Linked DNA regions of Caenorhabditis elegans. The protein of the gene in region 1 purifies or fractionates together with the protein of each later gene. This does not show direct contact. Each region holds a gene or a part of one and is shown on either strand. Other genes may lie near its edges.

The links.
Region 2: the proteins of F42H10.2 (region 1) and zig-6 fractionate together in Caenorhabditis elegans (co-fractionation; one large-scale study listed by BioGRID). This does not show direct contact.
Region 3: the proteins of F42H10.2 (region 1) and pole-3 fractionate together in Caenorhabditis elegans (co-fractionation; one large-scale study listed by BioGRID). This does not show direct contact.

The regions. Positions count from the first base shown.
Region 1 is NC_003281.10:8,488,655-8,491,639, reverse strand, and holds F42H10.2 (coiled-coil-helix-coiled-coil-helix domain-containing protein), read right to left. Parts: upstream 1,021-2,985; 5' UTR 996-1,020; coding exon 735-995; intron 679-734; coding exon 592-678; 3' UTR 536-591; downstream 1-535. Other genes in the region: Splicing factor ESS-2, read left to right, coding at 1,303-1,503, 1,558-1,818, 1,867-2,040, 2,104-2,699, 2,821-2,985.
Region 2 is NC_003284.9:5,186,336-5,190,802, reverse strand, and holds zig-6 (Zwei Ig domain protein zig-6), read left to right. Parts: upstream 1-1,725; 5' UTR 1,726-1,837; coding exon 1,838-1,898; intron 1,899-1,953; coding exon 1,954-2,104; intron 2,105-2,156; coding exon 2,157-2,305; intron 2,306-2,356; coding exon 2,357-2,497; intron 2,498-2,541; coding exon 2,542-2,630; intron 2,631-3,647; coding exon 3,648-3,788; 3' UTR 3,789-3,887; downstream 3,888-4,467. Other genes in the region: T03G11.9 (MARVEL domain-containing protein), read right to left, coding at 4,180-4,325. UniProt on the Caenorhabditis elegans protein: Probably not involved in maintaining the position of ASI and ASH head neuron cell bodies and ventral nerve cord axons of PVQ, PVP, RMEV, AVK and HSN neurons.
Region 3 is NC_003281.10:6,461,658-6,464,878, reverse strand, and holds pole-3 (DNA polymerase epsilon subunit 3), read left to right. Parts: upstream 1-2,022; 5' UTR 2,023-2,031; coding exon 2,032-2,298; intron 2,299-2,341; coding exon 2,342-2,471; intron 2,472-2,525; coding exon 2,526-2,542; 3' UTR 2,543-2,663; downstream 2,664-3,221. Other genes in the region: dlc-1 (Dynein light chain 1, cytoplasmic), read left to right, coding at 1,115-1,206, 1,487-1,664; algn-1 (Chitobiosyldiphosphodolichol beta-mannosyltransferase), read right to left, coding at 2,697-3,221.

The DNA.
Region 1 (2,985 bases):
TATTTATAATACATTGAAAATCATTTGATCTGACCCAATCGGAGAATTTGAGTATCATTTTTTCTTACAATGCTCACTCAAAAATCACAAGAATTTAAATACAAATTGATAGATGAACTCGAAACGCTAAATTCTTTCATTGGCGCCCTACAAAAATAGCGTAAGTATGACAAGTGAAGCAATTTGTTAAAGCGAAGAAGAACTTTACCGTAAAACCGGGTCTATACTTTCTTCTCCTACAATATGCAAAATTCCCGCTTCCCGCCGATTAATGATCTGCAACGTTTTTACCATATTTAAGCCTGACAACTGATGGCCGAATCGAATCTTCCACAGCAACTAAAACTTCAAGTGGAAAAGGAGAATAGATATGAAAAGTACTTCAAGCCGGCCAAAGGAACATCCGAACAGCGAAAAGAAAACCAAAAAATGAAGGAGTGTTCGAAGATATACAGATGAAAAGAAAAGAGAGCAAATAAACGTTTCGCAATACTCTTTGTAATGCACAAAATACAGTATAATTATTACAAAACAGTATTTAAACAATAATTATTTATAAATTAACAAAATGAACAAATTATAATTGAATCATCACTTTTTATCATTGTCACCGGTACCGAAACACTGTGTTCGTGTGACACACTCCATGAACGACATCAACTCCTTACCGCAAGCTCCCTACAATACATATTATTTATTTATTTTCGAGAACTCTAGAGCTAAATAATTGTTACCTGCTCTATTTCACCATCACTATTGGTCTTTTGGCACGTAATCGCTTCCCGAAACTCGAATCCACAAGGGCTTCCAACAAGATGACCGACACAGTGACATTCAAAATTGATTTGGCCATCAGCAGTTGTTGGTCCGGGGTTATTGCTTGGATAGACTTCATTAGGGTCCGTGTTAGCTAGTTGTATAAGATAATCGTCTTTAATATCTTCCCAGTACTCATCGACGCTCATTCTCACAACTTCATCTTTTGTTGAAGCCATTTCGAGATTATCACCTTTTCTGAAAGCAATTAATGTTTTTGAAGATAAATTAACCAGAAATCAAATATATTAATTTACGGACAAGAAGTGTTATGTATTTAATCAAATAATCTTTGAAAGAAAACAAATTCTAACAGTAAGTTTATTGTCCACGAGGACTACGTACGAGAGCGCTAAACAACTTGCACTACGAAACTCCGATTTTTTATAAAATTTCGCAATTTCTTTTATTTTTCTAATTTTCGTGGTTTTTTCTTTTTAAAATAGTGCTTTTAATTTTATTTTGTAAATTTTCAGAACTCGAAAAATGTCGTCGTTCGACAAAAATGACGAGCGAGCTCAGCTGATGGTGCCAAAATCAATAAACGAGGGAAAAGTAGTGAAATTGTCACAGAAAACCCTAGTTACTAAGAAAATTGAGCGCCAAGTTGTTCCCGAGGAGAAGTACATTGCTGGACTTGATAAAATTATAGAAAAAGATTATTTTCCACATCTCAAGAAAATGCAGGTAAAATAATCATTATTTATAAATATTTACTGTTTTAATGAGTTCTATTTTCAGGCACAGAAAGAGTATTTGGAGGCTGTTGCAAATAAGGACATTAATAAAATAAAAGAACTTCAAATGAAGTTCTGCAGTACTGGAAGTGTGCGGACCGATAGAAGCTTCAGAACCCCAATAACAACTCGTTCGACAACTGAGGCTCCTGATGTTTCATCTTTCGATGCAGATACACCGGGCCCTTCATCTGCTTCAACTTCGAGTGCACATGATTGGATGCAATCTCCAATGCCTTTTGCTAATGAGGAAGGAGATAATGAGGTTAGATTTATGATTTTCAATCCATTACTATCTTTCGCAGAGTTTCAGGCGTTAAATCGGAAACGAAAAAAGAAGAAAGAAGAGACTTTAACGTCATATCTCAACAAATACACATCAGAAGACAATGCTTCCTTCGAGGAATTGGCGAAAGTTATGAGGGAACGAGAAGATGCACGTCGTCCTTGGGTTTATAAAGCCGAGGAAGAGCATAACAAAAACCTTGTAAGATATTCTTTCACGAATAAAATCTGATATCGTCGAATTCGTAACTTAATCTAATTTCAGGTGACTCGACAAGCAATTGCTGCTGAAGCTGACGTGCAGTTGGCTTTAAAACATGCTGTAGATGCTGATGACAATAGACCTCTGAATGTAGACAATTGGGCATACAAAGCATGGAACACTGTACTCTTCAATCCGGATGGGGCAGCTCTGACACCTGCAGAGATTGCAGATGCAGCTAGAAAACAGCAAACTGAAATAAATAAACGTGGCACTAGGTTTCCAGACTCCGGAAAATTGAAGCCTAGCGACGAAGCTATGACTCGAGCAGCAGTGAGCCATGCTCTCGCGAATGCCGGAAAAGTTGATTTTTTGGGAAATGAAGTAACTCCAGCCAACTCATTCAAATTACTCGAAACACCGAATCCAAATCCTGACGACATGGATTCTCCTCTTATGACTTGGGGAGAAATTGATGGAACACCATTCCGACTTGATGCGCCTGACGTTACAGAGCATTCGTTGCCTGGTGCGGCGCCTGTATTCAAGATACCAGAGGTTCCGTATCGGGAGAAAATTGCACAATCTATGAATGATTCAATCGCGGCCAAATATAGAGACAAGAGAAAAGTTGCGATGAGAGCAGCTGAAGGAGCTCAGTGAGTTTTCATTTTTCAATTAAAAATTGTTTATTTTTTCAAGTTATAAAATATATTTCTCTATGGTATTAAAATCTATAACGAGATAATAGTACTTCAAATAATTTTCAACTTGGTAAAGTTTCAGCCGAACACCTGGATTTGGATCCAAGCGAGTCTCAGACAAGCTTGCACAATTATCTCCTGCTGCTCAAAAGTTGGCAACCAAGAAGCTTGGATTAAAAATGTTACCTGCTCACAAATCTCCTTTCGCCTCGCCGAAAATCATGTCGAATTGGTCAAGACC
Region 2 (4,467 bases), on another chromosome or scaffold:
GTGAAAAATGACGTTATATGAAATGCATTATCGTGTGGAAAATTATATACTAATATGCATTTGTATAGGGTTTCTGAAAGTAAAAAAAGTTAATTGTTACTGATTACGTTGAAATAAAAATTTTGAAGATCCAATGACTAAAAAAAAGTTTAAAAGGATGATCGTTTTTAAGCATTAAGCTCTGCGGATTTGGGAGTTAACTTCCTAATGGTGCTCCCAGTGGGCTTCTTGGGCAAAATCAAAAATAAATACGCTATCAGGCCAATTGGGCATTAGACTTGTGCAGCTCAGTGCTGTTTTGTGCCAATCAGTGTCGCTTTTTGGGCGCACTGGCCCGCGCTAGAATGGTAGATTAAACTGTCCACAATCTCTCCAATTAAAATAATTTTTACAGCACTTGTTCACGACATAGTGTACGATAAGTTTTAAAGTTGATTTTTTCAGCTTATTTTTTCTTGTGATAACATTTTAATTAGTGAGTATTAAAAAACTTTCAAATAGCTTTCAATTTGAACAAATTCCAGACTGGTAGTAAGAAATCTGCTAGAAACTTTACTTTTTGGCTCCATTCTTGTAAAAATTCAACTCAACTTAAATTTGAAAATGTAATACAAAACATTTTTTTTGATGTCTTAAAACTGGGAGAAAAATTGTCAAAAAGAAGACTTCAATAACCGATTTAAACTGAACAATTTGGAATTGAACAAAATCTTTTTAGTATCAACCAGTAAAAAGTTACTACTCCATGATGCTTGCGCACTAGAATTTTTCAGTGTTCAACATTGCACGCTTGTTTCGCCTTTAGCATTCAGCTGATGGATCAAAATTTCAATAACTGCAAATTAAACTATTTTTTACAATTTTATGTTACCTAGCTACTTGAAAAAAACTTTTGATCGCAACCGAGATATTTTTTTGAAGAGAAAATACGAAAAATCTAATTGGGAATAACGAAAAGAGCTCAAATTATTTTTGTACCAAAAGTTTTTCAATTTTTTTGAAATTACATGTGATTGTTTTTGTATTTGAATTTTGTTAGGCTTAAAAAAATAATTTCTAAATCTTAGTTAAAATAGTATTGACATAATGGTTCACGTGCTGATCTGAATGAGAATTAATCCTACATATATAATGCAATAATAATGTATATGTTAAAAAATTAATAAGAACATCACACTGTCACTGTTTCTTAAATTATTGTTCAACATATTTATATTTTATTAGTTTGTTTAATCGGCAGGCGTATTTAAAGTTGAATAATCGAAAATAAATTATGAAATAACTATTTTTCGCAATATTAAAAACTATTGAGAAATATTAACTTTTTCGCACTTCTTGCCTTCGGTATTAAAATTTTATATATTGTTGTAAATATTCTGAAATGTATTTCATTTACAGTTGTCAATCATATCAAGTTGTATTGGAATAAGTACCTTGCAATAACTGCAAATTTAAAAGTTTCTCACATTTAATTCATGATGTTTGATGATTTATTTTCAATAAAATTGTCCTTTTTCCAGACTATCATGAAGTGCACAAATCACTGAGCTTTCTCATTAAAAACATCAGAACAATTATCCAGAGTTAATAGTCTCCCTCAATCACCTACATCACGTTTTTCAAAAGACTCCAGCCTGTTTAATAGCCTTCGGCGTTCTTTTAATCTGAAAAAATAGCGAGCGAGATGAGGAGGGCAGTGGTGGTAACCCAAGCCTCGAGTATTTTACAAGAATGAATCTTACTGACACCTGACGAAGCCTTCACAACAGTCTCTAGTAGCGGTGGCTACTATCATTTGGACTAGGTTGTCTCCTTGAAATTCTTCCTTGAAAACAGGATGACTAAATTATGTCTTTTACTTTTACCACTAGTTTTCCTAGTCTCTTATTCGTTTGCAGGTTTGTTGAAAAGAAATTTAAAAAGTGTTATTATTCATAAGAATGAACATTTCAGAAGAAGAAATAACCATTTCCATTAGCCCAAATGCAAACCCAGTTCAAAAACCAATTGGTCACCAGATTTCTCTTGTGTGCTCTATTAAGAAGACTGATAGTAATGGAGAAAAACCAGGAATGATCTGGAAGAAACATGGTGGACTAGACCGGTATTTCAAGATCCCTATTTTCCTATTAAATATAACCCAGCTAATGTTTTAGAACTGGAAACGTCGAGGTCAAAAAACTAGACGACTACACTCTCGGACTTATTATCAGAAATTCCAGTGTGGAGGACAGTGGTGTGTACTATTGTCAAGCTCAGGTTGGAAGTAAAGTATACATGAACAAGATGGATGTAATCGTTTTTGGTAGGTCTCAATGTTTGTCGAGATTTTGAAAAAATAATACACTTTTTGCAGAGGACATTGTCTTCCGAGACAAACAACTTCACTTTGGTCAAGTTCTAGCGACTGCTTCGGTTAATATTTCATGTGAGGTATCCGCCAAGAAAGACAGTGTCATAACTTACTGGACTCGTCACGGGAAGCAAATCCTGGAAGGTTTGTCTTGAGGAAATTTGTTAGTTGAAACAAGGTGTTTTCAGGTGGTAAGCACAAGTTCTACAGTAGAGGGTCTATTCTGGAAATTCAAAATTATCAACCAGAACAAGACGCAGGACAGTATACATGCGAGGTAAACGAAAAATATAGGATAAAAACTTGTAAATTATCTTAGAATGGGCTTAGATCTAGGAATGACAGCCACTGAGCAAAAAGATATAAAATTACCGTAGTCTAAGTCATCAAAAAGTGAGACAATGGCGGCAGCCATCAAGGGTAAAATTTATGAGTTGCGTCGACAAAAGGTGCTATTTAATTTTATGGTAATTGTAGGGAAATGTTCTTTTGTGTGTAGAGCTGGTAACCGACAGATAAATACAGATAAACCTTATCAGTAAACTGTGAAACTTTTATCAAAAGAGAAGTGATAGTTTTTTTTTGAGAAAAAAGGAAGGGATTTTTGACAAAATATCTCGGTATTTGGCGCTTAATTTCGGCAAAATAAATCTAGCCATAAAGTTGGCGAAGTTTGGTTTTTTTCTTGAATGCTACTTAACCAAGTTCAATATATTTGGGCAAAATTTTTGAAAATAATTTTTTCTATGAATATAAAGGGAATTGAAAGAAGCCTATTGAGGTGCTTCGAGTTTTTCAAAAAATTTATTAAAAAATTACGGTTATTTATGATCTTTGATAACTACCCAGTATAAAAGCAGCGTATACGTTGTAAAACATTAATATTAACAATGTCTTTGTTCGAAACTTGTCACAGAAACTGGCTAAGTATTGCAATTATTATTAAAATATTGTACATATTTTGTTTGTCACATAAATATTTTTATACAAAACAATTCTAATGTGATTTCAAAACACAATGGGATAACATTTTACCAAACGTAAGAGATAAACATTTTAATATGATAACATTTACTTTTTTGAACACTCTAGTTTGTTGAATATTTTTGATTTATTTTTTTTTGAGGTAAAGAACTTTTCAAAATTCTAATTGCAAAATTTAAAAGTAATTAAAAATTTAAAAAAAAAGAAAAAATTTTGTTAATTTTTTTAAGTTTTCTATTCCGTCATTATAGCTTATTTTATGTTATTTAACATTTTGAAAAGTTAAAAAAAAACTGTTTCTTTATTATAGGTGTTCCATGTAAGCAGCGGCTCATCAAACACAAAAACTGTGACTCTTGGAACCACAGGAGAGAAAAACTACGTGGCATGCCAGCAGATGTGTAACAGTTTTTGCACTGATGTTCACAACAAAGTATTTACCAACAACTAAATTTTGAAGTGTATTGATTTTTTTCTCATTTTATCATTTCAAACATTTGAGTCACTGGAATAACTTTGATTCTTTTCAATAAATTATTATAGCTAAAAACATTTTTCTGATCGTGTTCAACGCAACAATATGAAAAAAAAACACGCTAATAGAAAGAAATATTGAACAAATACGGCATTTCTCATGAATGTTTTTGTTTCCAGTAACAAAAGTTCCCTACAAGCTCACGAGTGCTTGGTTGAACGCAATTTTTTTCCCAGGACTGTATGCATAATATATATTCTCGTACGAATATTTTATGCTACAACAAACATAAAAGTTGGAAAAAAAATAATAAAATATTTCATTGGTCCAAAAAACAAGACGAGTATCATCATGACGAGGTTGGTGTTCACTCCCACATACATCTTTCACCACTGTCCGGATAGATACCTTCGGCTTTTTGCCGAAGGTAGTGATAGCATTTGGTGGCAGCCCATATGGCGCCTATACAAATTACGATTCCCAAATATATTGATATCACCATTAACATTTGATCTGAAATGTAAATGAGATTGCGGGAATATGTGGCAAAGAGATTCAGTTGGATACGATGTTATACATACAACTCCGAACAATTCTTTTATTATTTTTTTTTCAATTTTGCAAAAATTCAGATGAATGATGCAGTACTCCATTT
Region 3 (3,221 bases), 2.0 Mb from region 1:
GCAATTATTCATAGAATTTGCAAAGATAGTGTTTCCAGTGCTTTTTCGAGCGATAACAACATTTTGCTAGTAGAGATTGTGGAATTTTTGTTGACGATAGTTGATTAAAAGTAGATTAAAAGTGTTAAAAATAGATTTAAAGTGTTCATCATATATTTTTAAGCTCTTGGTTTTTTCCAAGAGCTTTGCTATGTTTCAAATTGATCTTCTATGCATCTATTACTTTTATATTCACCCTCTTCCTTTTTCCGGTCTATTGTATTCAGGAGTTAGAGTCTATAAACACATTCATGCTCGTCTCACACAACAACCTCGCAGTTTCTTCCAACGCCCTTCACTTTTTCTTTTTTTTCTCCTTCTTCTCGCTCCCACCAACACCCCAAAACATTTTGAAATACGCGGGCACGCGCCTGTTTGCATTTGAGTGCGCGCGCATTGCCCCGACGACAGCCGAGTCGCACACTCCAACACAGCCGGGTCGCGTGCGACGCGGCTGTGCAGCGTGCGACGCGCCCCGCCTATCTCGCTCTCGGCTTCGCTCAGCCATCTTCTCTTTCGTCTCCCAATGCCACCCATTCCTCCACTCTTTGAAACTGTTATCTTTTGGCTCACTTCATTCTCCTCCACTTTCGATATCTTTTCTCTGTTGTCTTACGAATGCTGCTGCTGATAAATGCGTACAATCTGATGTGTACTCTTATCGAAAAAGTAGCCTGTTTGTTGACATGAAATATCTTTTGAAAAAAGTTCCCGATGACACATAACTGGGGAACTCTTCTTCTTTCATCTATTTCATTATTTCTAAACTGTTCAGATTTAAACAATTCACGTCAAAAGTTTTTCATGTTGCGGGCGCAAATACTCTGTACTCAAGTGCCTCCGAGCTTTGCAAATTATATTTTTAATACTCTGAAGAGCCTTATTCGTACTAACATACTCCTGTTTCGTGTCATAAATTGGGTCGCTCAAATAATTACCTTGCCGTTCTTCCATTATCCTTATCTATCTCTTTGACCTCCGCATTCCGCATTCACAACCGTTATTATAACTACTACCGAGTACCCGGTGTTCAATTAATTTAATTTTGTATTTTTTGCAGCCAAATCCGTTCAAAATGGTTGACCGCAAGGCTGTGATCAAGAATGCCGACATGTCCGATGACATGCAACAGGACGCCATCGACTGCGCCACCCAGGCCCTCGAGAAGTGAGTTATGAGCTTTCTCATTGCATTTTAAACGCTTGAATAATTCGATTGCCATGAACAACACTTGGTCGCTTAGTAGAGAAAAAGTGTAAAGAAATGTCGTTTAGCTGTTTGGAACGGCTCATCGGTCCCTTGATTTAAACTAAAGTGGACGGCAGCCCGAGTCTAGGGGAGGGGGCGAGCAGGAGCGACCAGCTGATCGAACAAATCTGATCCTTGTGCAAGAAAAAAGCGAAGCGATGAAAGTCTAAAAAATAAAATCAAAACATTTTTTTTTCAGATACAACATCGAGAAGGATATTGCCGCTTACATCAAGAAGGAGTTCGACAAGAAATACAACCCAACCTGGCATTGCATCGTCGGAAGAAACTTTGGAAGCTACGTGACCCACGAGACTAAGCACTTTATCTACTTCTACCTTGGACAGGTCGCCATCCTGCTATTCAAGTCTGGATAAATCCCATCCTGTTCTTAAAAAACATTCAATGATCTTTAAATTGTGACCTGATCCTACGTGTACCTTAGGTGGCGTAGGATCTTCAGTGTGCACTCTTGTTAAATCTTCCTTTTCCTCCCAAAAAACATTTTCCTTCGTCGCATTCTATTTATTTAGCTCAAACTGTTCATTTTCTTTGAATCTTCCTCCATCACCCATAAATCTTCTTACGTTGTCCGTTTTTGAGAGAAAAGAGAACTCATAATATTTTTGTTCTCGAAAAGTGCTCGCACTAAAAGTAAAAATAAAAGGATAGCTTTAAATCCCTTAATTATCTGTGCTTCATTTTTATACTCGAAACTGAACAAGGCAATAATTTAAGATAGAAATGTCATCAAACGATGTGGATCAAAACGATGATCGAATTGCTCAAATGATGATGCCAGCAGCAATTGTGACTCGGCTCATGAAAGAAGACAATATTTCTGCATCAAAAGATGCTCGAGACGTCATCGCTCGTGCTGCAGCAGTGTTTCTCATAAACTTGTCCGACGTTTCGGCTCAATCTGCTCGCGATCAGAAGCACAAGACGATCTCAGGAGATGATGTTGTCAAAGGACTCCGAGAGCTTGAGAATACTTCTATTCACAATCATGTAATTATGGGTTTCGAAAGAGTTAAGAAATTAAAATTTCCAGTGCAAGTCCGCCAACGATAAATGGAAAGTTATTAGTCAGCAGAAGGCTCTCGCTCGTAAAAATCCAGTTGAATCCAGCTCTGTCAATGCTGAAATGGATGACGACATTATTGACGATACTCCTGTCGATGGTTAGTTCTATTCTTTAAATCTGAAGTTTATCTGAATAATTTATAATATTGCAGATTCATTGATGAACTGATCACTCATAACCAACTCATTCCTGCTCAAAACGATCCTTCCTGTAAAATCTCATTCCGATTCTCAACGCGTGTCCCACTTTTGTCTCTAACATTTCACTTTGATAAACAATTTTGGCCAATAGTTTATTGAATGTACAAAACCCCGAAAAAAAATTAAAGCGATCTGAATGCCCCCGAAAAAGTGCCCATAAATAAGTGAATCGGCATGATCAATAAAATAGCGAAAAATGAGAATTGAATAATTGCACGAAGTTTGGCGAATCCATTGTCTGGAACTCGAAAGTCTGCACCAGAGGTAGCTGATCTCTTCCACATCACTTCCCAAGAATCGAATTTTTGCTCCTGTGTATTCTTCTTGAGCCGTATCAATTCATTGCAATTATTTGGGAATCCACGAGAAAGTTCAATAATTTGACGACTCAACTGCTCAGAATCATCGAAAAGATATCCATTAGTTTTCTCCTCAACGAGCTCATCAATACATTTGAATTTTAGAGCCAATGCTGGAACTTTAGCTCCAAACATATCAACAACTTTCATCGGAAGATCCAATCCAGACGTGCTTGTGTGCAAAGAGATTCCTAAGTCAGCAGAGGCTAGAATCTTTGGATAATCTTCTGCTTCCAACCATGGAGTCAATACATCGACATTCTTCAGATTTTTCTCGTGAATTTCTTG